Linked DNA regions of Xenopus tropicalis. The protein of the gene in region 1 interacts with the protein of each later gene in a pairwise test. Links are inferred from orthologs where the notes say so. Each region holds a gene or a part of one and is shown in the gene's direction. Other genes may lie near its edges.

The links.
Region 2: the proteins of gcc1 (region 1) and cep57 interact in binary tests that used the Homo sapiens proteins (3 or more experiments, as listed by UniProt). The two-hybrid records come from large-scale screens. The link is inferred for Xenopus tropicalis from reciprocal best matches to the Homo sapiens genes GCC1 and CEP57.
Region 3: the proteins of gcc1 (region 1) and znf276 interact in binary tests that used the Homo sapiens proteins (3 or more experiments, as listed by UniProt). The two-hybrid records come from large-scale screens. The link is inferred for Xenopus tropicalis from reciprocal best matches to the Homo sapiens genes GCC1 and ZNF276.
Region 4: the proteins of gcc1 (region 1) and abi2 interact in binary tests that used the Homo sapiens proteins (3 or more experiments, as listed by UniProt). The link is inferred for Xenopus tropicalis from reciprocal best matches to the Homo sapiens genes GCC1 and ABI2.

The regions. Positions count from the first base shown.
Region 1 is NC_030679.2:89,146,432-89,154,555, forward strand, and holds the start of gcc1 (GRIP and coiled-coil domain-containing protein 1), read left to right. Parts: upstream 1-3,524; 5' UTR 3,525-3,633; intron 3,634-6,560; 5' UTR 6,561-6,582; coding exon 6,583-7,052; intron 7,053-8,124. UniProt on the Homo sapiens protein: Probably involved in maintaining Golgi structure.
Region 2 is NC_030678.2:164,698,697-164,706,044, forward strand, and holds part of cep57 (centrosomal protein of 57 kDa), read left to right. Parts: intron 1-1,974; coding exon 1,975-2,052; intron 2,053-2,653; coding exon 2,654-2,755; intron 2,756-2,866; coding exon 2,867-2,947; intron 2,948-4,122; coding exon 4,123-4,349; intron 4,350-5,731; coding exon 5,732-5,876; intron 5,877-6,458; coding exon 6,459-6,668; 3' UTR 6,669-7,348. UniProt on the Homo sapiens protein: Centrosomal protein which may be required for microtubule attachment to centrosomes. May act by forming ring-like structures around microtubules. Mediates nuclear translocation and mitogenic activity of the internalized growth factor FGF2, but that of FGF1.
Region 3 is NC_030680.2:59,516,148-59,524,185, reverse strand, and holds the start of znf276 (zinc finger protein 276), read left to right. Parts: upstream 1-3,057; 5' UTR 3,058-3,168; coding exon 3,169-3,295; intron 3,296-3,989; coding exon 3,990-4,299; intron 4,300-5,872; coding exon 5,873-5,916; intron 5,917-6,259; coding exon 6,260-6,667; intron 6,668-8,038. UniProt on the Homo sapiens protein: May be involved in transcriptional regulation.
Region 4 is NC_030685.2:54,196,055-54,204,061, forward strand, and holds the start of abi2 (abl interactor 2), read left to right. Parts: upstream 1-3,786; 5' UTR 3,787-3,868; coding exon 3,869-3,985; intron 3,986-8,007. UniProt on the Homo sapiens protein: Regulator of actin cytoskeleton dynamics underlying cell motility and adhesion. Functions as a component of the WAVE complex, which activates actin nucleating machinery Arp2/3 to drive lamellipodia formation.

The DNA.
Region 1 (8,124 bases):
AAAGAGGTCTCTTGGGGGAACCGAGACTTGCATTTTATTTTGACATTTCACATGGGGCTAGCCATAGTCTTCATTTCCCACGGTGCTACAGCCATGTGACCTCTGTTCTGATAGACTTCTGTCACACTGTACTGCTGCACTGCAAGTTTGAGTGATGTCACCCCCTTCCTTTCCCCCCAGCAGAACAATGGGAAGGGAGCAAGGTAACAGCTCCCAGTAGATATCAGAATAGCCCTCAATAGTAAGAAGTCCAGCTTGGGACTCCTCCAGTTACAGAACATGGGAGTAGGAGAAACAATAGATTACCTGAAAGCAGTTCCATTGTGTAGCGATGGCTCCTTCTGAAAGCTCAGACTTGGGCACAATGAAGATGGCTGCCTACACACCAATAATTTAGAATGTAATTTAGAAATTAAAAGTTACACCATAAAAATCATGACAGAATGTCTTCAAAGGTCAATTTCACCTTTATTAGCAAAACTGTAATTACACATAAAACAAGACCCCAAAACCCCCAGAAATATGTTAAAACTTTACATAACCTGCCAAATTTAAAATGGGAGTGGTATTTAGAGGGTGTGGTCAAAAACATTTTCTGCCATGCTACGCGTGCATTTCTTTTTCTCCCTCTTTGCATTTTTCAAAATGTAAGGAAGTATGCTTACTGGAACACTCTTAGCATTACAGTAACCTGAGAGAGCAGATCCAGTGAGAATTCCAGTGAGTGTAAATAACAGTCAGGGCAGCAAAAAGTACACAGTAAATTGCTAAAGATGCTTGGGAGATGTTTTGTGATTAAAGGAACAGTAACACCAAAAAATAAAAATGGTTTGCCGACTTTTTTAAAAGCAAAGTCGATTCTATCCACAACCATTTCTCACAACCTTCAGTTACCAGTAATCTCAACCTTCCTAAATCTCCTCTTTCTGTATTCAGCTTCTTTGATCTTTGAACAGAGTCTGAAGTTTCTCAGCTTCTCCGTTTCTCTCGCCTACTACCTGCTCACTGGATCCTATGCCCTCATCACCATTAAAACCTGCCTATATAACTTTTGTCCGGTCTCTCTCCTACCCCTAGCCTCTAAACTACTGGGACGTCTTAATTTTTTCTAGTGTCACTAACTTCCTCTGCACCCATAATCTTCTGGACCCTATGCAGTCTGGTTTTCGGCCTGCGCACTCCACTGAGACGGCCTTATGTAGAGTGGCAAACGATCTCCAGACTGCCAAGGCCAAAGGACACTACTCAGTTCTCATTCTCCTGGACCTTTCCTCTGCTTTTGATACTGTTGACTATTCTGTCCTTATGCAAATTCTCTATTCTCTGGGTATCAGGGATCAGCCTGCATCCTAGTTCTCTTCCTATCTTTCTAACCGCTCCTTCTCTGTTGCTTTTGCTAACAAATCCTCTACCCCAGTTCAGCTTAGTGTGGGGGTGCCTCAGGGCTCTGTACTTGGTCCTTTGCTGTTCTACTTATACACTCTCTCTTTAGGAGACCTTATCTCTTTGTTTGGTCTTAAATATCACTTATATGCAGATGACATCCAGATATATTTAAACACCCGTTCACTAACCACTGATGTTCAAACCCAGATTGCTAACTGCCTCCTGGCTATCTCCTCCTGGATAAACCAACGTCAACGCTAACCTAGCTAAAACAGAGCTCATTTTCTTCCCCAAAACTTAGCCCTTCTCCTCCTTCAACCATTACCATTGACGGCATGACCATTCAGCATGCTGCCTTAGGGTTATCTATAATCAATCTCCTTCTCTAACCATATTAATAACACTGCCGAAAAATGCTGTTTTTTCCTCCGCAATATTACCAAGATATGCTCCTTTCTTTCATAAGTAACAGCTAAAACACTAATCCATGCCCTTACCCTTTCCCGCTTAGATTACTGCAATCTCCTACGAACCGGCCTCCCAGACTCCCACCTCTCTCTCCTGCAATCAAACTTAAACTCTGCTGCCAGGATCCTCCTGCTCTCTCCAAAGAGGCAATCTGTTCAGCCCCACAATCGCACTAGCATTAAGCAAAGGATAGCATACAAAATCCTTCTGCTAACCTTCAAAGCCCTTCACTTCTCTGCTCCTCACTACATTTCTTCACTGGTCTCTCTGCACATTCCTGATTGTCTCCTCCGCTTCTTATAGAGCCTCCACCTTTTTCCACACCCACTGCTCTCTCTCGCCTTAAACCTTTTATATCCTGTTCCTTACCTCTGAAACTCTATCCCTGAATTCCTCCATAGTGAACACTCACCCACTCTCTTTAAGAAAAAAACTCAGATGCTACCTTCTGGAGCACTAAAACATTATTTTGTCTAGTCTCGCGCTTGTGCACTCCTACCTTCCAATTTTCCATTCAAGCTGGAAAAAAGGCACAGGTTATATAAGTAGATAACAGATAAGCTCTGTAGAATACAATGGGAATCTATGCACCTCATCTGTTATCTGCTGTGTAACCTATGCCTTTTCTCCTTTTTTTTAGTTTGCACAGCAACTTTGTTTATAAAAACTACAGTAGTGTATCTAATGCAAACACATAAATTTTACCAATGCAGGGCAATATTACATAATACATGAACTACTTTGAAACACTCTAAATTTTTGGTGCTAGTTACGGTGGCCATACACGTAACAATTTTGATCTTTCGAAAGATCGTTCCCACCCTCCATGGAGGGTAGAAATAACAGAAATTCTACCTCCTTCTGCCGATTCAGCCCTTAACATAAATTTTGCCCGGACGGCATCAAAATCTTTTAACGTGGCTGATCAACGAGTCAACCGATATCCGCAGCCTCTTACAATATCGGTGGCCTCATCAAGCCGCAAAACACGCACCGAATCGCGCCCTGAGGCCGCCCCATTCACAGTGGAAAGAAGTCTCCCATTGCTCCGTATGGGAGCAAATTTCCGGTGCAGCGGGACGGCATGCCACCCCTAAATTTTTGCTGCCCTAGGCCAGGGTCTTTGTGGCCTAGCCACACACCCGGGCCTGATAAGTGCGTGTACAGCTAGCTTTAATCTTCTCACCCCCTGTAAGATTAAACGCATACTCTGCTTGCCTCCTAACTCACTCTTAACTGCTGGGATATGAAGAGACAACCTCCCTCATCCTCCCTGCTTTTCGGCCTCCTGTAGGAGCTCCACTGTGGCTGATCCTTTGAAATAAGATACAATTCCCCGCTCTCTCCCTCACCCAACGCCATCCCCCGGTCTGATTTATTCATTCTTGTAGTTTCAAACACAGCGTGGATCCAACACCAGCTATGCAGTATCATGCAAACTGCTAACATCTTGTACTTGAGAACCGGAACGGTTTTTATGTTACTGCGCGTGCGCATTTTTTTTTTCTTCAATATATATATATACTTTTATATCTATTTCTTCCGCCATGGTAACCACTGACCAATGAAAGCAGCTTCCGCCTCTCATGTAGAGGTAGTCGAGTGCCTGTTGTCAATGTTAGCCAGTGTCGACCAATTAAAAAAGTTTTTACCACTATAAGCCGCGCCTTATTCCAATCAGATTGAGAGGCGAGTCTAAAGATTTGATTGGCAGCTGAAGTAGCCAACGCGCGCTTTGCTCCACGTCTGCAGGATTGAGAAAGATGGTTGATGTTGTAGGTAAGTGAGGCTGCGGGTTTTCGCTTAATGGAAATGTGTGATTTTAATGTGAAGGTGCCAGGGAAGCTTTTGTTTTTTTTTTTTTAAATTAGTTAGTTGCCAATTGTCTTTAATAGCCATGCTGCTGTGTTGAAGAGAAGACGTCTCTTTAGGCAGTATTAGTGCAAGCTTTACTTGATTGCTGCTTATCCATGACTTCCAATATGCTGGCAAATATCGGAGGTGGCCTTAAATAGCAGTTCCAGTATAATGTCACCCGCATTCTATTTTCATCAAGGATTTCCAAGTTGAACCATACTACCAGCTGTTCTAAACTACAACGTAGTGTTCGAGTGATACAAGGCTTTGCCCCAACTGGATGTCTGATCAGTAATTACTAGTAATCTACTTGCATTAAAACAAATGAAGCCTTTATCTGTACTGCTGGCTTGACAGCCACGTAGGATGGATTTTAAAACCGTGCAGTTTAAAGGCAGAATTTGGCAGCAGTGTTAATATTAACATTATATCTGTAAACTTAGCTGACAAACAAAATGGCAGCATACATGCACAGTAAGGAGTTAGGCTTATTGTACATGCACATGTCACTTCAGGATGCTATTTCCTAGTGTGGTCATGTGATCATCCACCTGATCTCCAGGACTTTAGACCACCTAAGAACTAGCATATGCATGCAACTATTTGCTCCTATTTCACACACATGTATATATAATTTTTTTTAACACCAAGGCCAGCAAGCAGTATTTAGTGGTAGCTTCTAGATGTGCAAAGCTGGTAGAGACATACCCTAAAAGACTGGCAGCTGTAATTGCAGCAAAAGGTGGTTCTACAAAGTATTGACTCAGGGGGCTGAATAATTATGCACACCCCACTTTGCAGTTATTTATTTGTAAAAAATGTTTGGAATCATGTATGATTTTCGTTCCACTTCTCACGTGTACACCACTTTGTATTGGTATTTCACGTGGAATTCCAATGAAATTGATTCATGTTTGTGGCTGTAATGTGACAAAATGTGGAAAAGTTCAAGGGGGCCGAATACTTTTGCAAGCCACTGTATTTCCAACAGTGTCACAACTCACACAATACCTATCACATCCAAATAAAAGGAGAAGGAAAGGTTAAAACTATTTAAGCTTTATCAGAAATGTCTAAGTATAAACACCAATAAACACTCACAGTAATGCTGCTCTGAGCCCCTGTGAAAAGAAACATGTCATTGCTTTGCTTCTGTTGTTCACACATGGGCTTCTTTATCATACTTCCTCTCTAGCTAAAACACCATACCCCGGGAAGCCTGCCTGTGCAGCTCGCTTCTTTCTCCCCTTCTTGCTATAAACTGAGCCCAGAGCTATGACCCAGCCAGAGACTTAGTGCAGGAGGAATTGGAATTTATATCACACAAAGCTAATATAGCAGCTATTATCCAAAACAAACAGAGATAGCTTTTAGGGCTGTTCACTGAGGTATGGTAACGCATTCTACAGAATAAATATAGCTTTCTAGCTTGCACTATTGTGGCTAATCTATTGAGAGTATACAGTATCAGTAGGTTTCCTTCTCCTTGAAGTTGTTAGTCGCTGTGAATGCCACTATACACATACAAGTACTGTGAGGGCCAAACACTGAGATACATAGTCAAGAAATTTGACTGACTTTGGCCTTACAGCCTAAAGCTGGCGATACACGTGGCGATCTGACGATGTTTCGTGCGACCATCGGTCGCACGAAACATCGTCAGATGTGCCACACACCATTCAGGGCTGAATCGGCAGGTAAGGAGGTAGAAACAATAGGATTTCTACCTCCTTCTGCCGATTCAGCGCTGAAGGGAGATTTTGATCAGGCGCCTTCTATGGCGCCCGATCAAAATTTTCCAACTGGACCGATCGGCGTGTCGGCCGATATCAGCAGCTTCCTGCGATATCGGTCGACTCGCCGACATACCATACACGCACCGAATATCGTACGAAACGAGGTTTCGCACGATATTATCGGTGCGTGTATGGCCACCTTAAGCTTGCTTACTTTTCTAAGCCCATATTTCAAGTTTATACAAATCAGCCTGCAAAATCTGGTCTTCCATCACCTCCTATTGGCTAATATTAAAGCCATATCTGACCTGCAAAAAGAAAGAAACTTTGTAAAATACAGTAATTAAACATTTTCTATGTTTTAAAGTTATTTGTAAAAGCAATTGAAAACAGTTTTTGGTTCTATTGCTCCAAATCTTTAAGACACTTCCACTGCTCTGCATATTGATTGTACTTCCTTTATACACCTTTAAAGTGGACCTGTCACCCAGACATAAAAAGCTGTATAATAAAAGTCCTTTTCAAATTAAAGAAAAAACCAAAATCATCTTTATATTAACACATTCAAACCCATTATAAAGGCATTTAAAAATCCCAGCTGTCAATCATATATTAAGGCATAGAGGCGGGGCAGACAAGTACTTTAACTTTCAATTCAGCTCACACTTTCCCCCTCCCTCCTCACCATCTAATTGTGTAGCCAATGCATGGGCCTGGGCATCTGGTCCCCCATTCTGGCACATACACACGATTTTGGGGTGATACAAAGCTTGCCTTAATAACTGTGTCCACAAAATTGCAGCTGCCTATTTGATGTGATTGTGTAATTCCAGGACTGAAGGAAACAAGATTTATATTACTTATATAGTGTAAGTGAAGTTTATTTTGCTGAACAAACACAATAGAAAATAATTTAAAATTATTTCTTAGGGTGACAGGTCCCCTTTAATCTTATTATGCTTATTTGCCAGATATTTTTTAATACTGATTCTGTTTGCTGTCTTCATATTTTTTTTTTTTTTTTATCTACGTCTGTCTTTTTCACGTCTTTTTTAATATGCAAGGAACTCATTTCAGACTCCCTCTTTTCTTCTACTTTTATATAAAAATCAGAATGCTAAGCTGATCTGTTACCATGGAGAAATTAGGCATGAGTTTTGGAGGTGGCCCAAGTAAGAAGGAACTTCAGGAGCAGGTAGAAACTCAACGGAAGCAACTACAACAGTACCAGGGTCGACTGAAGGATGTTGTGCGAGCATACAAGAGTCTTCAGAAAGAAAAGGAGGCCCTTGAGGCCAGTCTCCATGTACTTTCCACTACTCAGGAGCCAGGCACTCTTTTCTCAGAATCTGAAGAGGCACATGATGACCAACATTCCATACACAGTGAGGATAGTGTGGACACAGCAGGTAGTCTTCCCAGTGCTAGAGGAGGTGAGACGAGTGAGGATGAGAGACCAGATCCTTCTCAACGAGGTGGAATAGAGGAGGCCAGTGGTTCAGAGAGTGGGGTCAGCACTGCCAGTGGAGAGGGAGGTCAAGCCACAGCAGTTGAGACTGACCGTAAGATGGTGCAGCTGAAAAACCAGCTTTCTACACTAACTAGGTATGTAACTTAAATAGGTTGTTCCCCTTATTACACTTAATTTATTAATTTTTTAAATTTGTGACATACAAAGTTTGTTTATATTAAAGATAAAGGGCTAAGTGTCAAACAAACAAAACCATGTAACAACCCCTTTAACTGTGTTTTAAAGGAGAACGAAAGGCTAAGTCACCTGGGGGTGCCCAAATGTTAGGCATCCCCAAGTGACTTAGATCGCTTACCTTGTACCCTGGGATGGTGCCCCTGTTAGGAGAAAAAAGCACCAGCCCAGGGTACCTGTAGGAAGCGCTTCCTCCTTCCTCTTTCTTCTCCCAGTGAAATCCGTCGGCCGGTGCATGCGCAGTAGAGTAAAAAGCCGACTTTGTTTTTAAGTTCGGCTTTTCACTCTACTGCGCATGCACGCGCAAGCGAATAGGAAGTAGGAAGCGCTCGCTGCTACCCCGGGCTGGTGCTGTTCTCTCTGTACAGGGGCACCAGCCCGGGGTAAAAGGTAAGCGATCTAAGTCACTTGGGGGTACCTAACATTTTGGCACCCCAAGTGACTCAGCCTTTCCTTCTCCTTTAAATATAGAAAGAACTCAAGGAACAGTTTAGCTTGTTTATGCATATCATATGTATGTTTATGAAAAATTAAGAGGAATGAAAATATGATGGAAATAATGCTTTATATAAACAAAGCTGCTGCTGTGTAGCAGTGGGGGATATCTATCGTTTAAATTAACTAGTAGTGTTTCTAAAGCAAACGCACAATTGTTACCAGTGCATGTTTCTTTAACCTTTTTTCTCAAGTGACGAAAAATTAGTTTGAAGAACCAGCTTCATGACTAAAATTGGTTTAGAATTATATACATTGTTTTGCTGACTATTTTCTACTGTAGCAGTATATCCAACTTTATTCACTGTTATCACACAGATCAATCTTGAACAGTGTGAGGCTCCATATTTGGGTCCCAAGCCATTGGTTAAAATCATTTATTTTATATTTGTACTCTGAGTAGGTGGATTCCCAGCATATATGTTTGGCATGTAACTTCTAAATACAGGGATACCAAGCATATAAATATATACATTA
Region 2 (7,348 bases), on another chromosome or scaffold:
AAATGACTTGGGGAGCAACACAAGCACCATAAAAGTTCATGGAGGTGTGATTGGCTATTAGGGGCCTCTATGCATACTATCAGCTTACAGGGGGCTTTATTTGGTAGGAAATCTTGTTTTATCCAACGAAAACTTGCCCCCAAGTCAGGAATTCAAAAATAACTCCCTGGTTTGGGGGCACTGAGAGCAACACCCAAGGGGTTGGGGAGCAACATGTTGCCCCTGAGCCACTGGTTGGGGATCACAGGGGAACTTCATCAGCATCAGTTGTTGATGCTGCTGTGCATGTTTCCATGTAGAAGAGCTTTTTGCAAACTAAGATAATAACAGCCTTGATTAGCTTCTCTTATAGAGCATCATATATGTTCTGCACTGTATAAGTACTTTGGAAAACAAGCCTCCTGTACTTAACAATCTTTGCCAGAATTTGGGGGAGGCTAAGCATAATACATAGCATGTTTTAGGCACTGAAGCAGTGTCCTGTTGTATGAACAGTGCTGTTTACGTGCGTATATGCACTTATTTTTGTATAACTGGAATTAAAATATTATGTTTTCACATTAATTGTCCTACTTAAGTCTATTATTGCCTTTGTAGAAGCTATTAGAACCAAAGAAATAGGGAAAACGTTATATGTTCACCTGCTATTATTTTATTTGGTATATACAGGTATGGGACTTGTTATCCAGAATGCTCGGGACCTGATGAGGGATCTTTGTCATTTGGATCTCCATACCTTAAGTCTGCTAAAAAAAAATATTTTAAACATGAATTAAACCCAACAGGAGTGTTCTGCCTCCAATAAGTATTAATGATGTCTTAGTTAGGATAAGGTACAAGGTACTGATTTATTTTTATAGAAAAAAAAGAAAATAATTTTTTCATTTGAATTTTGATTAAAATGGAGGCTATAGAAGATATGGCCTTCCTGTAATTCAGAGCTTTCTGGATAACGGGTTTCCAAATAACAGATCCCATACCTGTATATCAAATTTACACACATTTAAAGGGATACTGTTATGATTTTTATGGTATGATTTTTATTTCTAAATGACACTGTTACATAGCAAATAATTCCCTCTGCCATTTAAAATTGTATTCTTGAACCAACAAATGTATTTGTAGCTGTAATATTGGTGTGTAGGCGCCATATCAGTGCATTGTGTCTGAGTCTGAGCTTTCAGCCAGCGCTACACATTAGAACTGCATTCAGCTACCAGGGGTCGGGAACCTTTTTGGCTGAGAGAGCCATAAACACCACATATTTTAAAATGTAATTCCGTGAGAGCCATACAATACGTTTGGCTGTGGGGCAAGGTAGGGTGGGTGCCAAGGATGCCGGATGCGATGCGGAGGAGGGCGTGGCCTGCGCTCGGCAGATAGAAGACGCGTTTTAAGGCTTAGAACACGTGTTCTATCCGCTGGGCGCAGGGGCAAGGTAGGGTGGGTGCCAAGGATGCCGGATGCGATGCGGAGAAGGGCGTAGCCTGCGCTCGGCGGATAGAAGACGTGTTCTATCCGCCAAGCGCAGGTCACGCCCCCCATAATTTTTTTTTATTAAAGATTTGGCAGAGAGCCAGATGCAGCCATCAAAAGAGCCACATCTGGCTCCCGAGCCATAGGTTCCCTACCCCTGAGCTAACCTATTGTTTCTCCTACTCCTATGATACCTACTGGGAGCTGCTATCTTGCTCCCTTCCCATTGTTCTGCTGATCGGCTGCTGGGGGGGTGGGGGGGGGAATATCACTCCAACTTGCAGCGCAGCAGTAAAGTGTGACTGAAGTTTATCAGAGCACAGGTCACAGGGCTGTGGCACTCTGGGAAATGAAGAATATGGCTAGCCCCATGGGAAAAACAGATTACAACGCAGGATTCTGCTGGAGAAGCTCTAATAACTGATAGGTTTTTTTAAAATACATGTTTTCCTATGACCGTATTCCTTAAAGTCACATGACACCATTTTGCTTTTTTAGAAAAAAATCAGTGAAATCGAACAGAAACTGAGAGAGGAGGAGCATCAGCGCAAACTTGTGCAGGAAAAAGCAGCCCAGGTAATAATACTGTTTGCTCTTCAGCTTGCGATCCTGTCTGAAACTTGGTGATCTCATTACTGTATGTTGTTGTTATAGTATAAAGGCAACTGTATATGGAATGTGTAAATTTAAGTAGCTCAAGGGTAAGCCAAATGATGTAAAATCACTCTGCTCTTTTGCCTGCAATAGCTATATATGTGTAGTGCAAGTGACTGCCATACTTCCAATCGTCAGTTACCTGATTATAGGTGGACAAGCACAGCAGGCAGTGGGGGGATTTGGTACCAAAATCAGGTTTTTTATGCTATTGCCTTAACAACATTAATGTGATTGCAATAAGAAAGCTTATCAAAACAGTGAATGGAACTTGTTTCAAAACAATACTAATAAATAATAAATATTTAGTTGCCTAACAGTGCATTAATAAGTTGGTAATATGAAATACAAATGATTAGATGATTAATACATACCATGCCATTTGCAATGGAACTTGGCATAACCGGACCAGTTTTGTCATAAGTTACTCTCAGCACATTCTACAGGGAGGTGCCTAATTTAGTTTATTTCCGTTTTTGTATAAATAAATACATTTTTATCTAAAATATTTTCTTTCCTCCAGCTCCAAACAGGGTTGGAAACCAACAGAATTTTGCTCCGTTCCTTAACACCTCCATCAAAACAAGTGAAGGCAAAAAACATAAAGTCACTGCAGCTGGAAAAGGTATTTGGTCCTTCCGTGCTGCTAGTATTCTTTGTGGGCCTACCTAGAGTTTGGTTCTAGTGCACCCTCTTTGCTCTTTATTTATATGCTGTGTTCTTTCTTCTATTCCAGAAACCCACCTTTTCCAGTGTTTCACACTTACAGCCCCACTATCGCCTGAGCTTAGGAGATGTGCCCTTTGTTGCTGGAAAGGTAGGTATTAAAACCTTAGTCTTAATTTTTTCGATAAATTTTCTTTTAGGGAATCCATTTCCTATTTGATGCCCTTTTACATGTGCTTACGTAACCCAAGCTACCTTTTAAGAGAGCTGTACATTTGACAATGGTTACTCAGCAAGGCTGAAACTGGACACACTGAGTGGCAATAAATGTGGTACTGAGGGTTGGACGTTTTCTGGCCAATGTGGTGGAGGGCCGATAATGGAAGCCAGTTTTGACTACCCCCTTTTTTTACACTGCACCCACTTCAAACCACACCCATGTTATCACAAGAGCTTTTAAAACCATACCCACAATAATGGTGGTTGCGCAGCTAAAACACAAATAGTTTGTACTTACTGCAGGGATATCACTTATCACTCATACGTGAAAGAAGATTAATATGTCATATTAAGCCACACTCTTAGCCACTCCTCCCCTGTGGGTACCACAGAAAGGCACATAATTACACACCTAGGGATCCCATGACAACTATTTCCAGATGCTAATAAACTCCCAGAACAAAGCCCTGCCAGATTCATCTCTGACGAGCAGCATAGGGCAGGCAGGGTATGGCACACACAGGCAGGGTAGGGCAGGCAGAGTATGGCACACACAGGCAGGGTAGGGCAGGCAGAATATGGCACACACAGGCAGGGTAGGGCAGGCAGAATATGGCACACACAGGCAGGATAGAGCAGGGAGGGTATGGCACACAGGCAGGGTAGGGCTGGCAGAGTATGGCACACACAGGCAGGATAGAGCAGGGAGGGTATGGCACACACAGGCAGGGTAGGGCAGGCAGTGTATGGCACACACAGGCAGGGTAGGGCAGGCAGAGTATGGCACACACAGGCAGCATAGGGCAGGCAGAGTATCACACACACAGGCAGCTTAGGGCAGGCAGAGTATGGCACACAGAGGCAGGATAGAGCAGGGCAGGAAGAGTAGGTGATGCGACAGGGAAACCTGCAACTGGTCATGACCACTTCAACAAATAAACAGTTTGTACTGTACAGTGACACAATGCTAGCACTGCTCCTACATTCTGTGGGCCAGATGCTGGCAGTTGGACAGTGCCGCACTAGATTATAGAGCTCTCTATAAGCATATAGAATGTGTCTATTGTCTTTTTGCACATGTGTTTATTTTGATATTTTTGGTTCTAGTCCACAGGCACTAGCTATTCCGTGAGAGCCAATGTCCAGCATGTCTTGCACCTGATGAAGCAACATAATAAACTCTTGTGCAATGACCGAGTTGTGAGCGATCAGCCTGTTGAAAGGAAAGAGAGTGCAGTAAGGTGGACACCAGACCCAGTTTTATCTTCTCGCTCTTACCAAGACCTTTCAGAGGTTTTGCTCACACTGGAGGATGAGTTTGGGCAGATGAGTTTGTAAGTTGTTTCAGAGCTTCAATATTGAACTTTAAGCACATCATCTGCATTATGATGAATCCCTTTCCTCAGTTTAAATGGTTAATTTAAAAAAGGCTAGAGCCCTTGCAGGGGGAATATGCTCGTCTGTGCTTGGCAAAAGAGGATTCTGATAACCAGAATCCATGGGACCCACAGGGCTCTCTGGGAGATGGGCCCTTTGTAGTGAGTTTGTAAAAGGTTTGTGAGGTTAATGACATGATGCTGGATCTGTTGAGGTAGCTCAGAACTTGCACAGCAATCATCCCTGTTATCATAAAAGCTTGGTTAGACACTTTGCTAAAAAAAAAAAAAAAAAAAAATCGTGCATTTGCATGAGCAGCATATTGGCCAAATATTGGGCAGATCTCTTATCAGACAGGTGAGAAAATCCCCTTGGGTGAGGACCACATCAGCATACTGGTGAGATCCTCTCCCAACAGGAAGAGACCTAGATGCAAGTCCCTAAAATTTCCTGCCAAGACTTGCAGAGTCCCTTAAAGGAGAATGAAAGGTAAAGTAAGCTTTATCAGAAAGCTCGCAGAAACGCTGCACTGAGTCCTCTTTTAAAAAAAAAACAGGATTTCTTGTCTCCTTTTTTGTAAACCTGTTCTTAGGGTATCTGACTTCCTCTCTTAGAAAAATCCTTCATTCCTGGGGCCGAAGTCTGCACACTTCTCTCTCACCCTTCAAACTGTGCTGTAATCTGAGCTACCAGCAGCTAGAGCTGCAGCACGAAAGCTACTGAGACCAAGCTAAAATGTCAGCTGATAATTATTAGTAATGTTTGTTCAAAATAAAATCTTATTTAAAAAAAAAATGGCAGCTGCTATCTTAAACAAACAGATGGAGCTTCTAGGGCTGTTTACTCAGGTATGGTAAAGCTTTCTGCAGAATAAATATAGTGTTCTAGGTGGCAATATTGTGTCTGATCTATAGGCACTAAAATGCCTTTCCTTCTCCAGTGATGCCCACTGTGCTTTAATATGACCTTGATGTTTAAACTGCCCAATAGACAAACCAGATTAGTAAGAGATGAAAGAAATATCCCAAAAGGACAAGAGAGAAGCAGTGCAACAATGCCCAGCTTATCTATTCTTGCCTAAAAAGAAAGAAGAGGTATCTAGATGGGTGGTCCCAAGCTCAGATCTCCTCTCCCACTATAGGCCTCTCTATAGGCTAGACATCCAAGGCTCCAGCATCTGGAGACGCTGTAAGAGCCAAGATTAGTTAAAGCTGGATGAGGTAAAAGTGCTTTTTGATTGGTTGTGTTCTGGAGGGTGAAGTCTGTGGCATTGGGATGTAAGATAAATTTATTTCAGGGCAACTGACATAATAGTTAATTCAAACAATGTGTCTTCTAGTGACCACCAAGAACTGGTAAAACAAATCCAAGAGGCGCACTCAGATCACTTAAAGGAGGATCTAGAAAGAGAGCTGGAAGCTCTTGTGAAAAGGATGGAGGCAAAAGCAGACCAAATCACTAAAGTACGGAAACATCATGCAATGGTGAGTCTCCAAAAAACTTTCTGAGCAGGATTGAATGGGGTGTCAGTGGGGCCTTTAATAACTTTATAAATGAGAAGAAACATGGCAGTCAGTACATTTGCCTTTGTGTGCTGTTGGATGCCTTGAAAGCAACTTACAGGCTTTACACCTGCCATATATTAAAGGAGAAGGAGAGGTACAATCACTGGGGGGTGCCAAATGTTGTAATCACTTACCTGGTACCCCAGGCCGGTGCTCCTGTTGGCAGAGTGAAAAAGCTGGCTTTCTTTGTTACAGTTCAGCTTTTCACTCTTGTGAAAGTGGCGCTAAAGAATGAGAAGGAATAGGATCGCTTACTCGCAGGTACCCCGGGCTGGTGCAGTTTTCTGCAACATTGAAACTGGCCTTTCCTGTTTTCATCAGATTGCCACAATGTAGAAAATTAATATAAAACAAATCTGATTGGTTACTGTGGGTAACTGCACTGGTGCGACTGAGTGAATCTGCTCCAGTGTCTCTTATATTGTAGACCTTCATACATTTATTTGGTATTATATGATTCTAATGTGTTTGTTCTTGTTAAAACGTTTTTTCTCTTTCCAGCTTGGAAAATTATTTGGGCAAGCCAAGGTTAAAAAGAAAGCGACTACCGAGGAACATGCAAAAGAGAGAAAGCACTTTAGGGATGGGAAGGAGGCCCACGTGAGCAAAGACAAACCTGGGGAAAGGAGCAGGAAGAGCCTGCAGCTGCTGAGGGACATGCAGACCTTGCAGACTTCCCTCCAGAAGGAGGACATTAGCTGGGACTGCTAAATAGTCCCTCACTCACACTGTGAGATATGTCTCAGGGAAAGTGTCTGCATTGCCTCTCTCCTTCCTTCTCTTGTCCTGCCTCGCTGCCCACAACATACACAGCTTGCCCTTTCTGTGCTCTCTGCATTGGTGAGAGGGTGCAAGGGCATCGGGGGTCCATCACCAAAGCCCACCTGAAAGTGCCTGCAGATCCTTGCTTTGCAACCAGTATCCCATGGCAACCGCTAAAGGGAAACAATAATTAGCTACCTTAATTTTCTACCTTTACTACTTTTAATTTACTACCTTAAAGTAACACCTCAGGCTGTAACCCTTTGCTCCCCAGTTCTTCTGCATTACAGCATTCTAATTTGCCCCTGGTCTGTTCTCTATTGGAGGCCTCCCGTTATCATTCCAGAATGCATTGATGGTGCTACAGGTTTTTACCTCAAGAAAGTGAATCTGCAAAACTCAATGCAGCAAATGCAACTTCAGACTGAACACAACAGGAGGAAAATATCATTGTATTATAATAATGGATTTCTTCCTCCTCCTCTCCAGTGCCTTTCTCTATATTAGTTATGGTTATCATGGCCATGCAACATTTTCAGCACATATTGGGGAATTGTGCAGTTGCTGCCAGACAGGAAGTTGGGGTGGGAACCCTCATATGTACTTCCTGTGAGCTGCACTGTGCCCTA
Region 3 (8,038 bases), on another chromosome or scaffold:
ATCACTATCAGGGTTCTTCTATTTGCGGGTCCATCTGCTGAGGGACAAGCAACAATTGAGGGACTTCACCAGCTTTGCTTAGTGGTGCAGTTCATTGAACAATGTGCCCCTGCAGTGAGAGTGTGGGTTTGGGATCTATTACCACTCACCCTAGAGGAAGCTGCTAGACTGGCAGATAAGTTTCTGGAAAGAGTCCCACCAGATCTGTAAATTTTTCCTAAGTAGCTCTGATTCCCAGTGAATCAGGGCCTCACCCTACTGAGGGGAGCCCCATCAACACACATCCACTGGCGGGAGAGCCCCATAACCTGCACTTACCTATCCTGCAGAGTTCAAGCTTCTACTAGGAATTACGTTCAAAGGGGCAGAATGATGATGAGAGTGCTGCATTTAATGCCCAGAGAGTTGGACTACAACAGACCAACCCTATTATTATGGAACATCATTTGTTATCTAATGAGGAGGAAACAGCAGCTTCTCCGTTTGATTCTGCCTTCCAAGCAGGTGATGAGCGAGTCACAGATTCTGTGATCGATCGAAATAATAAGTGGATTGCTGTTTTAGTGCCTTTCTGCTGCAGATCACCTGTGGGTCCTTGAGCTGGCTTCTCAGGAGGTCCTGGGTACAAGGCAGAACCAACAATCTCTTGCATTGTATTCTTCTGGATCCATCCTGAGGTCTGAGGTCTACAAACCAGTAGTGAAATTAACACATGCTACCTTTCTCACATTTGATGACAGACAGGAGGGCATTGATTCCTACCTGAAAAGCTTTGAAATAATTTGTGAGGATTACAATGTTCCCTGGGAAGAGTGGCCAAAAAACCTGGCAGGCAAGAAAACTGGCAAGGCCAGTGACATCTACAGGGAATTACCCTCAGCGGACTGACTAAGAAGAGGTTAAAAGATTTATTCTTCAGGACCCCATGGCTTAATGGGAAGACTTTCTGTGGAAGGTGTATCAGAGCTGAATTCTCTGTAAGGCAGAGACACAGGAAACATATAAATATGCATTAACTGGCCCCTGCAACATGGAACTACAGATTTAACCAGAATCCAGCCAGACCTGTACATTTTTCCCAAGCGGTTTTGATTCCCAGTGCGTCTGGGCATCTCCCAGAGAGAAGAAAAGACTGCATTTTAAATCTACTGCTTCAGCTACCCTTCACCCATTATTGTTTAGACCGTGTATAGATTTTTGTGGGATGCTGGAACTACCTTTCTGTTATCCATAGGATGATTTGTTGCTGCTGTGTTACTTTACAAAATAAAGTTAAAGTGTTTTGTGGTTACTCTCCAGTGTTCTTCCATATTTCTGTTAGGTCATTTTCATGACACTCATCATTTAATTTTATGAATTATAATATAAGAGCAAAATAAATATGTAAAAATGTAACACATGAAGAGTCTGATGTGTGTATGTATTAGGAATGATGGAGTTAGACGTTGCCCATATACCATGTAGTTCTGAATAACAGGGAAACACACAAACACACAGCACCACATTTATATCCAGCAATACAGAGGGAAGTATCTCTGATTCTATGTTACAGTCACTCATAGCTGAGAGGAGGTAGGTTAGGAAGGATATGTCAGGTTGACATCCGTAAAGATGTCATGGCTTACCCTTAGCAGAGTTAGATTTTCTTCCGTGCTCTTAGGATGAAAACATACATTCAAGCCTCCGTAAATATCTCAGGTAGTGCATCTCCCACTTGAATATATAGATGAAAAAGTCTAGAAATTCTGTGCTCAATAAGCAATACTTAGGCTGAAGTACTGTACTCACTTCCACTTTTAATGGAAATTATACTGATAGTAATACAATATATACACACTGTGTTTTCCAGTAGTACAACAAAAAGAAGCTTTTAAACCATGACCCAACCCAAATACATGTGATTTTACTAGAGGCAGCTGAAGGCAAAAACCTTTATTCACACTCAGAGTCTCTTCAGTTTTTCCCACGAGCTGGAACCCTATGCAACTGAAGGCACAACTCAGAAGGCTTTCCTTATTTGCCTGTAGTTTATCGCTGTAACTGAAGATGCTTTAGCACTTTATTACAAACACACCATGTCACACACAACACGTTTGGGTTTTTTATCAATTGTGTTATGAGTAAATAGGTGAAACCGCAAATATGTTATAAAGTGCTAACTGCAAAATATAAGGCCTATGGCATGTGTAATAGGGGACATAAGAAAAAAACCTGTTGCAAATCAAATATTTGATTCTAAATATTTACTTGTGGACATTCCTTTTAAGCCTTTCTTAACCTGAAGGTACCGCATGAAGGGCCAGGAGCAGAGCATCTAACTCCTTTCACTTATAGGCAGGTACATCATATACAGTAGTAGAACTTGCTTAGAATTACAGAGACACCAGTCTGCAAACACAATCATACATAGGCACCAATGGCAGATATACCAACCCTTTGCACTTTCAAATGCCAAGCCACTTGGAGAAGTGGCTTCTCTGGGAGAAGACACCTACTATATATTGCAAGGCATTGGTTGCAGTTCCAGTTTAACACAACACAGGGTGACAGGAACAAAACACTGATAGGCAAATAGAGAAACTACACCCATCAATCACTGTAGAAAGTAGGGAAACAGTGGGTTACAGTGGGGACATTGCTAGGTACCAAATGCACCTCAGTAAAAGCCTGTACCCACACCTGTAGGGAACACCTCTCTACTCCCTTCTAATGTACATCCTACTGTCGTTTTCATGCCTTCCACTGCCTTCTCAACTTCCCAACACTCTTCTGCCTTTTCCCTTTTATACATGCTTTTCTTTTTAGAACATTTTTTTCCCTCCAAACTGTTTTTTCTTTTCCCAATTTTTCTTTCCTCGTCTCTCGTTTATGTTTTTCCTTATACCAAATACATGCCACCTTTTTTGAATATTTTTGCTTTGCTGGCACAAGGCGTACTGCACAACCAACATTGTTTGTCCAATATTTAATAAGGTTTGGAATATGTACAACCATATATTAAATATAAATACGCAACTAACCTCGTATTCTTCGACGTAGCTCTTTCCTGACGCAAGGTGGCAATATGTCACCACGGCCTCTCTTTCCAGCAGTCCCCGTCCTGTTGGTAGGGCGCTTTCCGGTTTAATGGCGGCTTTGGTGCTCAAGCGCTGGGGCTGAAGCCGAGGGATGAAGCGGGAGAGACGTAGGGGGAATGCGGCTTCGGAGCGGAAAAGAAGAGCTCAGGTGGCGGTACCGGAAGGGATCAGATCTGTGGGCTGTGCCGTGCAGCTGGGCCGAGATGAGCGGATCCAGGGTGAGAGTGTAGGGAGGAAGAATGTATGGAGGGATACAGCTTTCAGAGTTACATGGATGTAGAGGCGCAGAAACGTGTTGGTCTGTAGACTGCAATACATAAAGTGGCATATTTATTCATTTTGGACAACTATTCCCTTATAAATTAACCAATCAAATATTTGCTTGTATCCTTCCTATTTATGTGTGAACATAGCTGTGATATGTTACTATGGGTTATTGTCTAGGAGCATATTTATGTATTAGTAAATATAAACTAGAAAAAACAATATAGCAGCATGTAGTGGGTTTTAGTGTTTGTCACTATATGAGTTTGCATTAACTTCAAAGGCTTCCCTTATTTGTCTGTGGTTTTTGGTTGTAATTGAGGAAACTTTGACACTTTATTACACACCATGTTTGCGTTGCCCCGTCCCTTTATCAAGTGATGTGAAAGCAAATATAGGAAACCCCAAATATTTAATAAAGTGCTAATTGCAATGATTCTGCTTCACCCTCCTGCTGTTTAGTTCCCTTTTGGGTACCATGGTACTATGACAGGGTATTATTAGAGCTATTTGGTCATATGGGCATCTCATTTGTGGCTTATTTGGCATGAATAAGGCTGCAGTTTGCCACCAGAAAGGATGTACAAACTCTTATTTGTGTTCTTTGCCATTATAAATACTCTTTCTTTGATTCCTATTGGCTTTCAGGCATTGGCAAGACTGTGGGCACTGGGTACTGCCGTCTCTGTCATGGCAAGTTCTCCTCTCGTAGCCTGCGCCATGCTTTTGGGAAAGTGCCAGTGACAGGTCTGAGCTCAGAGAAGCAGAAGCGCCTGGACCATGTGTTCTTTGCCGACTTCCATCAACTGGTGGGTGTATCTGTGCGTCAGGATCCCGAGCTGCCGCAGTTTGTGTGCAAGCACTGCCATGCTCAGTTTTACAAATGTCGCAGTGTGCTGAGAACTTTCATTCAGAAAGTAAACACTTCGCCTACCAACCCTCATGGCAACAAATCTGAGTGAGTGTTATTCTGCTTTTTTATAGCATCTCCTCAAGTCACTGGGAAAGTAGCTCTTTGCATTGAAATGGCACAAAATACTGTGAGAAGTGTTGGGGCCTGAAGTGAAAAGCAGCTGTACTGAGAGTGACTTAGTATTCTGTGTTGTTTAATGGAGTTGTTGCAGGATAATATGATAAAATGTGCTCGCTTTATAAATATTTGTTACTTTCAGTTCATTATAATTTATGCATTGGTTATTATAATAGGTAAAGCCTCCATTATCTGTTTGTTAATATGGGTGAGAACTATAACGCCAACTAATGAAAGTGCTACAACCTTTGCTTACAAAAACAAACTATAATCAGTATGGCTGCATGTAAACTTACATAAAAGAAGGCAGCCAGCTTAGACACCCTGGAGGACACAAAAATGAATGAACTGCATGCCAAAGTGTCCCCTTTGTGATAAGCTGGCTTGCAGTATGACCTGATAGTTGTTGTGGAGCAAAATGGTTCAGATCATTCTGATTTGCCCTAGATTGTCTGTGGGAAGTAGAGACCTTATCAAACAAGTGTTTTTTTCCACGCATGCCCACCTTTACTTAGGGGCTGATTTACTAATCCACGAATCAGAATGGGAAAAATTCGGATTGGAAACGAACATTTTGCGACTTTTTCGTATTTTCTGAGATTTTTTTAGTCGCCGTTACGACTTTTTCGTAGCCGTTACGATTTGCTTGTATATTGTCGCGACTTTTTCATATTGAGCGATTGTAAACGGTGGGCAAAACTTTCAGACTTTGCATGATTTTGGAAGCCTCCCATAGGACTCAATGGCACTCTGCAGCTCCAACCTGGCCCAAGGAAAGTCACGATACTGAAGCTTGAATGAATCCGAAACTTTCGTACTCGGCGCGACGGCTACGAAAAAGTCGCGACAATTTGCGCAAGTCGTAACGCTACAAAAAAGTCACGACAATTTATGAAAAAATCGCAAAATACCGATCATTGCGAAAAAAACGCATTTGGATGCTTTTCGGACGTTCGTGGATTAGTAAATGTGCCCCTTAGTATTGGTACACTCTATATTGTTTTTTCCGTAGGTACAACATCAGGCAAGTATATGTGTATTGTGGCTTTTTAATTGTATGCTGAGTATCTTTACTTACTAGGTGCCAGAGTGAACCACTAAAACATGCCGGGGGTTGAGCTATGAATCTTATACGGATTTGTTCATGCTTTTCAGTAATTTTAAGATAGATAATGCTCATTGCTGCATTTTTTTCATTCAGCAAACACTGGGCAGTCGCCATTCCTGCATTTAAGCCCCCGAGTATGTAGCCAAATTATACATTCTGTGTGGTTGCATGTCTCAAAAATCTTGTGTGTGACCAAATAATGCAGACATGGAAAATCAGCTCAAATCTACTGTTTGCTACGCACAATTGATTTTATACTAGACATCCTATGTAAGGACTACATTTATTTTTGGGATCTATGTTAGCCAAAATATTGTAAGGAAGCGGGAATAATGCTTTGGGGCTATATGTGTCCTCTAGCAACTGTATCTTTTCTTTTTGTTGTCCCAACAGCAAAATACATGATGTCATCGGTTCTACCACAGGTCCCTGTGCAGGTAAAACATTAGCTTATTGGCCTTCTTCCCTTACATACCAAATTGTGTATGCCATAAATAAAAACACAATTTTTTGAAAAGGCAGATAGTATTTATTTTAAACATTCTGTATACTTGTATACTTGTATTCTTGTATACTGCATACAAGTATTATGTAGTTTACTTATGCCTCCCTGTTTACGTACAGTAGAAGTGTATAAATAATTATATATATAATTATTATTAAAGCTTTCATAATGGCTTGTCTGTAATCACATGGTTACTTTATATAAGTTTTAATTTGTGTAGTGTGATCACTCACAATTCCACACAGATTTGTGAATGCTTTTTCTTGAATTTATAGATTTAATCACTTCAACTCCTGAATGTCTACATAGCCTGGTGAACTGGACACACAAACATGCAGGAGGCTGCTCCTTCCTACCTATACTGCAGAGGGTGATGGCCACACAGTACTGTGGTATTATACAAGCAGTGTGGGAGTGTGGAGGGGGACATGACTATATCATGCAACCAGATTCAGATTGCATCTCCTCACCTGCTCAACCAGAGGAGGAAATGAGCCCCGAGCAGGGCTTAAGTGGCAATGGAATACACCGTATTAACACAAGGACTATACCTGATTCAGAGTACAACCCCCCTGATCGAATAAACACCGCATCTGTGCTTCTTGATACCTGTGTTGTAGTAAATCATATCACGCAAAACAGAACACCTTCTCCACCCTTGGCTGCTCCAGACTCATCACAAGGTAAGATAACCTGGCCATATGTTTAAAGATGGTGGCTAAAACAGCTGATCCAAACCTTGGGCCATCAGGTAAATGATTGGATCACCTGGGGGCCAGAAAAATCTGAGTGGTTTATTATGGGTACATTGACCAGGGGCTCTTGATTTATGGAATTTTTCTCTGAATAATCCCCAGCCAGGGGTCCTGTACACAAGACATTGGACTGCAAATTTAGTTGGCAGTGACCATATTAGCAGCTGGCATTTGAATTTTGTAGAGTTGGAATCAGAATTAGATAAAATGGTCTCTGCAGTATTTTAAAATATATTATTTTTATATACATAGTCCTACATTTCTTGTAGAAATCAATATTTAAAGGGGATCTGTCACCTTAAGAAATAACTCCAAATTATTTTCTATATTGTTAGTTGAGCAATAATATAATATAAATCTTGTTTCCCTCCGTCTTGGAATTACTCAATCAAAGCAAGTAGGCAGGCACCATTTTGTGGACACTGTTATGAAGACAAGCTTTGTATCATGCCAAAATCTTGTTTATGTGCCAGAATGGGAAACCTCATGCCCATGCACTGGCTACACAATTAGATGATGAGGAGGGGGGGGAAGTGAGATGTGCAGTGTCATCTAGGTAGTGCTGAATGGAAAGCTGAAGTTATTGTCTGCCCCGCCTCTATGCCTAAGGCATAGAGACGAGGCAAGCAATATATGATTGACAGCTGGGATTTTTAAATGCCTTTATAATGGGTTTGGATGTGTTAATATAAAAATGAATTTGGGTTTTATGTTTAATTTGAAAAGGACTTTTATTATACAGTTTTTATGTCTGGGTGACAGGTCCTCCTTAAGTCACTTTTCCACACTTTCTCTTCCTTTATTACACCTGCCAGATGGGTGTAAGCATTTCTCTGCTCATGATCCTGCACAGGGTCAAAGCTTTTTTTGCATTCAGTCCTATCAATTTTATTTTTCCTCCTTAACCAGAACTAAGAGCTGAGCATCTCTTTTAACACACAAAATAGCACTGCACTGCCTTTTACTTGGCTGTAGGCTGCCAGTGTGAAATCCCTGGTTATTGTCCCTTAAGTGAACATGAGGCTTTTCTGTTTTGTAAAATTCATCACTGGTCATATTTTTTGGCCTTCTGACCTTGCCAAAATAATTTTTTTTTCTGAAATGTATAACAGAGACAGCAATTGTCAACAACAGTGTTATAGAAAAGCAGGTAACCACTTAGTCCCAGGATAGATTCACTGACTGAGCATAATTTGCTCACAGAAATAATTTTACTAGAACAAATTGATGACTGTAATGCTCTGATTTCTTGCGAGGTGCTTTCCATTATATTAGAGGTTCCAAAACTGTAAGACTGAC
Region 4 (8,007 bases), on another chromosome or scaffold:
AGGTGGTGAAAGCCTGTATGGTGCTTTATGCATGACCAAAAAAGAAGAAGATGGGATTAACTCTTTAACTGCCTGGCACAATGGTCAGGATCACAAGTGCTTATTTCCCAGATTACATTAGCTTAATTAAGACATTAGTTTATCATTTAATATAGATCATTCATAATGTATTTACAAACTATAGTGATTTCATAAACGGATTTCCACAAATTTACATTTATGTATCAGCAATTTGCAACTTTAACACCAAGGTATGGGGACACTAAAATCAAACCAAACCTCACTTTTTTAAAGTAAAACAAAAGCATATAAGCTGTGGAACCAGATGAATGTTTTCCTTCTCCATGGAAACAGCATTATTGTTATTTTGCCTGTGTTTATGAATGAACTCCCAATATACAGTATATACATATGTAGAATATAAATTACATAATTCAAATCTGATTAAATGGAAACTGCAACCAGTGCAGAGCATCAGAATATAATGATCATCTCTGCAGGGTCAGCCTATATGACAGGCAAACCTCATTTTCTGCTTGCTGATTTGCAATGACCCCTAAAATTAACTTCTTAACATTAAGCATGTATCACTGAAAAAAAATTTAAGATGGCAAATTCCTATGATAACAAAGAATGCCTGGATTATTACCGTTATGGAGATTCTTGACCTTTAAGCTGGTGCAGTAAGTTAATTATATGAAATATAGCATGTCCAGCTATATTCGTTTTTAGTGTTTAGTTGTCCTTTAAAAGAAATTATGTTTTTTATAAATATATATATATATATATATATAAAACTGTCCTACTTATAAAACATTAAATGAGAACTATAGCCTAAAATAGAAATAGCATATGGCTAGAAATACTGTATATTTTATACTGAACTCACTTTACCAGCTCAGTGGTTCAGCAGCCCTATGACAGAAACAATCCATGCCTTTGAAGCTTTTCTCAGCAGTTTGCCATCTTCATATCTTTTTTGTGTGTCAGCGGCTCAATGTTCCCTGTGCTGCTGTTGAGATGCTATGTTTAGGGAGTACTGAAAACAATCAAAAATATTTATAGATAGTGGTTACAGTTGTCATAGAAGCTAAAGCTATAGTGCTAATAGTCACCATGTCATGTACAGATTATGTATTTTATAATCAGCCTTGTATTGTAATATTGTGTATATATAGTGTATTTTTTCAGGTCAATGAGCTCAGGTAACAGTCATGAGTTCTAAATATGTACTTTAAATCAGAAGAGGAACTAGAAGGGGAACTACAAGGAGCAACTTTGAGTACATATGTTGACTACTAAAGGGCTGTGATTGCTTTGTGCTGGTACAGAAACCCAATACAATAAGATGCAACATGTCTAGCCAAATTATTTGTTGAGTTTCAGTTATTCTAAATGTTGCAGTCATTTAAGGGCAGAATTATCAATATTTTGATTTCCATGATTTTTAAAACCACAACTAAACTCATTTCCACTAAAACCACGAATGTCTAGTGATTAATTTAAAGAACTGAATTGAAAAAGCATGAATAAATTAAAATGCAGCCGAAAATGTAAAACCACAAAACCACACATTTTTTGTGGTTTTTACGGTTTTTCCACAAATCTTCATGGAATTACACATGTAAAAAAAGCAAAAACCTCAACAACCACAAATTAAATACACATTGTTACAGTTTGCCTAGGACAACTCCCTTCCAAGTGATATCGACAGCTTTAAAATGGCAATGTTTTTTATTAGTATTTTTTTGTGGTTCTTATGTTTAATAAGTCATGAAAAATTTAAGTTTTAGCACAAAAAAAGGAATTGTGAAAAAAAAGAAATATGAACTTTAGTTCTTCAATATTAGTCTTCATTGGGGGCATAAATGCAGACAAACTGAATGGCACATCAGGATTTATTTGAATGAAAATCTTTTTGTCAGAGATCTAGTTCAGTCAGGCCTTGTGGTTAAAGGAACTGTAACACTAAAAAATAAAATGTTTTAAAATAATTAAAATATGATGTACTGTTGCCCTGCACTGGTAAAAGTTGTGTGTTTGCCTTAGAAAGACTACTATAGTTAATAGAAATAGCTGCTGTGTAGCCATGGGGGCAGCCATTTAAATTGAAAAAGGAGAAAAGGCACAGGTTACATAAGAAGATAACAGATAAACTGTGTAGAATACAATGGGAAACTATGCTACTTATCTGTTATCTGCTTAGTAACCTGTGCCTTTTCTCCTTTTTTAAATGGCTGCCCCCATGGCTACACAGCAGGGTATTTATATAAGCTGTAGTAGTGTTTATTAGGAAAACACACAACTTTTACCAGTGCAGAGCAATAGTATATAATATATTATTTTTATACACTTTCATTTTTTGGTGTTACTGTTCCTTTAATACAGTCTGCAGTGAGTCCTATATTGCTGAAGTTAAAAAAAAAAGTACTGGAAGCTGCTGGGGTTCTATAGCATTTGCAGATGGTGGTAGTTCAGACTGATAAAACAAACATGATCCATAATGCTCTTGTATTTCTTCCTTGATATTTTATTCACTCACTCCTCTATTCAAAAGGATCATTAGAAGTTTTGACTTACAGAAGAGCTGAGCTTTCTGTTGCCTTTAAGAAGAACAATTTCCAGCACCAGCAAAAGAAGGCTGTGCCCAAACTACTGGGTTTACTTTAAGTACATGACAAACAATGAAAAATGATCACAAACATGATGTGATCTGACCTATGCTTATGTCTAAAGCACTTTTCCTTGATATTTTATTCACTCAACGCTGTATTCAATAAGATCATTGGCAATTTTGACCTTCAGAAGAGCTGATCCTTTTGTGGACTTTAAGCAGTTGCAGAACAATTTCCAGCACCAGCAACAGAAAGCCATGCTCAAACTACTGACTTTAATTTTAGTTCATGACAAACTTTATAAAGCATTGGAAATGTCATGTAATCTGGCCTGTGTTTAATTATAAAGCATTGGAAATATCATGTAATCTGGCCTGTACTTAAGACTAAAACTATCTGGGTTGTGGTAAAAACCTTTCCACTGGTGGACTAAACTTATCTGATCCAATTGTTTAGAACCCAATGTAATGATCAGGAGCCCTGCAAACCAACAGGAAGGGACTGCATCCATGGTCAGATATGCTCCATGGCAATTGAGTGTTTTAAACTTCTGGATCCATCTCTGACCTTTATAATCATTTTATAATCAGAGGCCATCATTTTGATAACAGGCCAATAGGCAGATTATGTCTTTTTTTAAACTGAGCTAACAAGAAACCATGTGACCTTGAATTAGGGAAGCACTAAATTCATAATTTGTTATTATAAATGCAGGAGACTTTTCCCCCAAATTTTGAGGGTCCTATGATATTTATGTACATCCCCCATAGCTTCTAATTATGCAACTAGGCAGTATGATTACCAAATTCAAGCCATTTCTAATTTGCTGTGTTCCTTGTTAAGTTCTTATTTTTATTACTAACACTGGGCTTATATGTTCATTATCGCTAGGCTTTACGGATGATAAAAGAGAGGGCTGGAACGGTCACCACCTTCGTCCCTTCTATTCCCACATTCCTCCATCTCAGTGTCTCTCTGTTGCTAGGAAACGAGTTTTCAAATGAGGATGCAGCAGGACGGCCAGAAGCGCGTATTCCAGGGTTCCGCCTACCTATGTTGTGCGCATGCGTTTCCCATGGATTAGTGCGTGGAAGTGCATATCCTATTGGGCACGCCGCCTTTTTTTTGGAGCGCGTTCTCGGATTTTTTTTTAATTATAGTTACGCGCAGGGCGCGCTCCCGAGGATCGCTTCACCATTCCATCTCTCCGCAGTGTAGCGGGGCTCCAAAAGGAGGAGGATGTGGTGAAAAAGATGGCGGAGCTGCAGATGCTGCTGGAGGAAGAGATTCCGGGCGGCCGGCGGGCCCTGCTGGACAGCTACACAAACCTAGAGAGGGTGGCCGACTACTGCGAGAACAATTACATACAGGTCCGACTTTTTAGAGCTGTGAATGTGATGTAGCGCTAGACAGGGGCAAGGGAATACTGGACTGGGCTTCTCGTACACCGCCGATCTGCAGCTTTGTATAGATGTGATTGCGGTCTATGTCCCGGCATCTCTAGTTAGGCTTTCCTATATAGAGGGAGGGATGCTGGGACTTACAGAGAAATGACTAGTGAAATGCAGTGTGATGATCCTGAGTATAATGAAAGCACCGTGATGGGCAGGCACGTTGGGATATGCACGCACATTATAGTGTAATAATCCCACTCTTCACCCTATTGCAATATTGACCCTTACGGGTAGCTGTGCAAGCCTTGCTGTCACGTCACCATGTATTTATATATAGCATCACGTGGCACACACCACTCTTCCTACAGGCAGGGGGGGAGATGTTATTACTGCATTTTCTATAGCAAATGACATCATATTATGTGGGAATGTGCAGTAAAAATGTAAGATTGAGGCAATTGAGGTTGAGTGTAAAGAGTGCAATCTTAAACCTCCTATAATTGCCAAAATGGCCAGTATCAATATTGAGCCATAGGTTGCCCCCCAAGAATAGGTTACTTTGCTTCAAATCCACCCCCCCCCATTCACCAGTCACATGGTTCATTCAGTCAGGAGCATTATACTGGAATACACCTACACTTTATGGGCTGTTGGGTTATTCCAGACATGTCCACTATGCCAACTATGTGTGTGATGTTAGGAAGCTACTAAGCAATTGGTGAGATTCAAAATATCTTGGTTATGTTACCATTTAGTGTACAGTTGTAAAGAAAATGAACCTGCATACCTGTTCTGTAGGTAAGAGCTGGCTATAAGCAGTAAGTGCAGTGTATCAGAGCTGAGCCTATACTCCTGCCTATGGAATATGTAGGTTTTCTCTTTCCTTGTTTTGGGCTGCATGCCCTGACCCCCCATGTCACACGTTTATTAAAGCTGATTCTTAGGCTGTTAATTTTTCACACAGACACCAATGTATATTTTTCAGTCATGGAATACATTATTTGTCATATTGTGAAATGCTTATCTTTCATATATATATTTAATTGTAGTTTTATGGAGTAGAACACTGATGAAATGGTATGGGCTTTATATACAGTTATGCAGTGACTGCCCTAGGGTTTCATTACCACAGGGAGCATGTAATTAATGTGTGAGACATCCCTGATTTGTCCCTTTTTTATTAATTATGCAGGTTTACATTAGGAAATGCATCTTACGTTTCCCATGACACATATGTGCTTAGCTGTTAAAAACTCTTGTGGAGCGTCTGCATACTGCTTGGAAGGTTAATTACAACTATGTGGTGGTTTGATGTGGCTGTTTCCTTTCTGACTACCAAAAGGAGATGAAGCACACTTTACTCCTTCCAACACTCAGTTGAATGGGAAGCAGTTACACTTCCAATTGCTTAGAGGGGTCGTTCACCTTTGAGTTAATTTTTAGTATGATGTAGAGAGTAATATTCTGAGACAATTTGCAATTGGTCTTTTTTTATTATTTGTAGTTCAGCAGTTTTCCAGTTTGGAGCTTTAGCAGTTATCTGGTTGCTAGGGTGTAACTTACCTTAGCAACCAGGGTGATGTTTGAATTAGAGACTGATATATAAAGAGGAGAGGACCTGAATCAGTGACCCCCATTTAAAAGTTGCCAAGACTTACAAGAAGAAAGCAAACAATTCAAGAACTATAAAAAATAGTTTTTTTCTATGTTGAGTTTTGGCATCTGTTCCTTTCAGTAAATAACTAATAATAACTTGTATAGGCACAACACTTGCACCTTAGTATGTCTTACAGAGCCACAATGATCAAATAGATTGATGTATATTCATTTCATCTGTTGATTTCAGAAGTTCTTGAAAATGAAATAAAAATTAAAGAAATCGGATTGGTTAAATCGAAACCTGTTATCCAGAAAATTCTGAATTATGGCAAGTTCATCCCCTTAGAATCCATTATAAGCAAATAGTGCTTGATCCTGACTAAGCCACAAATCCATATTGGTGGCAAAACAATTCTTTTGGGTTTATTTTGGGCTTTAATTATTTTTAGCAAACATAAGGTGTGGTGATCTAAATTATGGAAAGACCCCTTATCTAGAAAACCCCATGTCCTAAGCATAATAGATTCACTATCTGTAATACTTAGTTTTGGTTTGTTTTTTTGCCGATTCAGTAAATCACGTTATCATGTTGATCTTGACTCAAAACGGAATTGCAAATGTAAATGTGCTAAAACTACAAAAAGTAAAATGCTTAGAATTGACCCAATAATGAATGATGTATTATATATGTATTAATGACCTAATATTGCCAGCATTGGGCTTAAATTTTTTAATATAGAAGGTTTGGAAAGTTGTTTAAACCTGGAATAGTGAGTGGGATTTTTTTTTGTCTGTGTTGTTGGTTTCTTATTCATACATTTACCTATGACTGGTAAGAAGATTTAATTTAAGACAGGTTTGGGAGCTGGCTGAATTTTCTCATTTTTGGGATTTGCTAGAACCAGTTGAAAATTTACTGGCCAAATAGCAAAAATACATTTTTTTTGCTCTAGAACCTTAACATTTTAACAGAAAAACTTCAGTTCATATTTTAATTTGTTTATTAGGGTTCTGGTTTAGTCCAAATATTTATGTGAAGTATTATGTATGTATGCCTCCCTGCTATAAAGCTATGGTGTTGACATCCCTCATGTAATATTTTAGTGCAAACCAACAGGGAGTTAATAGCTGTGTTCACCATATTCTGCTGCAATGACCTGTAGGGGTTTCAGTGTAAATCCAATGAGAATGTGCAATAAAAAGAAAATGAGAATTGATTTCTACTTATTATCATCTCAAAAGAATTAGCATAAAATTCATGTTCAGGAATACTTCCTTTGGTGAATAAGAAAGAAATAAGGAATATTTTATTAAGTGATTAAATAAAAATGTAGGTGCCATTTTTATTATTTGTGCATCATAGTAATAAATATGTTGAATTAGGGCTAAATTTCTTCTACCTGGATTCATTCATTTATTTTTTCTATTTGTGAATTTAGCCTAAGAACTATAGCACCCTGCTGTTACAGCTTTTAATTTTAGATTTAAACAGGTCACCTACAAAAGAATTGCCCTTTGTGCTTTCAGTTAAATATTTAATTGATTTAAAAAAAAAAAAAAATTTTAATTGCGGGCATGTACATGATTTATTTTGTGTTGTGCTCAGTGTAGAGCTGCAGTAGTTGAAGATGAAAAGACCATTTTATTTTATTCTTGTTTATCACTGTCATTGAGTGGTTTTGCACTGCAATTCACTGTTGGCCTGTTTGGAGAATAAAAATAACTAGGAGAACACGCAATGCAGCTGTGTGCAATATGTATGCCTTTTAGCCTTCCTGTGGAAACATTTTTGTGTCTGTACTGGCAGTTGTTGTAATTGGTGTTTAATTCATGAGATGGCTTACCATATTGTTCTCCAGAAAAAAAATGCAAAATTAGTACAGGGCATTGCTTTAGTTTTAACACATGAGCTACTCCATGTGATCATCTTTATCAAATATCACATTATGATTTTTCTGGCTTTTTCTTGTCCATTTGAATTGTACTCATGTATTCCAATTATTAACATTTCCTTGGTATTTCTTCAAGTTTCCGTGTAAAATGTTAATGTTTTTCTCACCTATCAAAGCCTTTGCCATTTACCACACTGACTTGCAAGGTTTAAGGAAAACTATACTTTCATAATAAATATTTCCAATGGTACATACTAATAAAGAGTTTTTATGCAAATGCTTTATTTAGATTAAGCAGGGTTTTACATATGAGCTGTTTTATGCAATATATTTTTATAGGGTCATTGTTCAGGGGTATCAGTTTCTATTAATGCAGTTGAAATCTATTATTTCCTATGACAGAATACATACCCAAACTAATTCAATTAGAACAAATTAATTTATATGTCAAAATAGAACAACATTGCTTTTTTAACTCAATATAGGTCTACTGGGCGACTTTAAAAA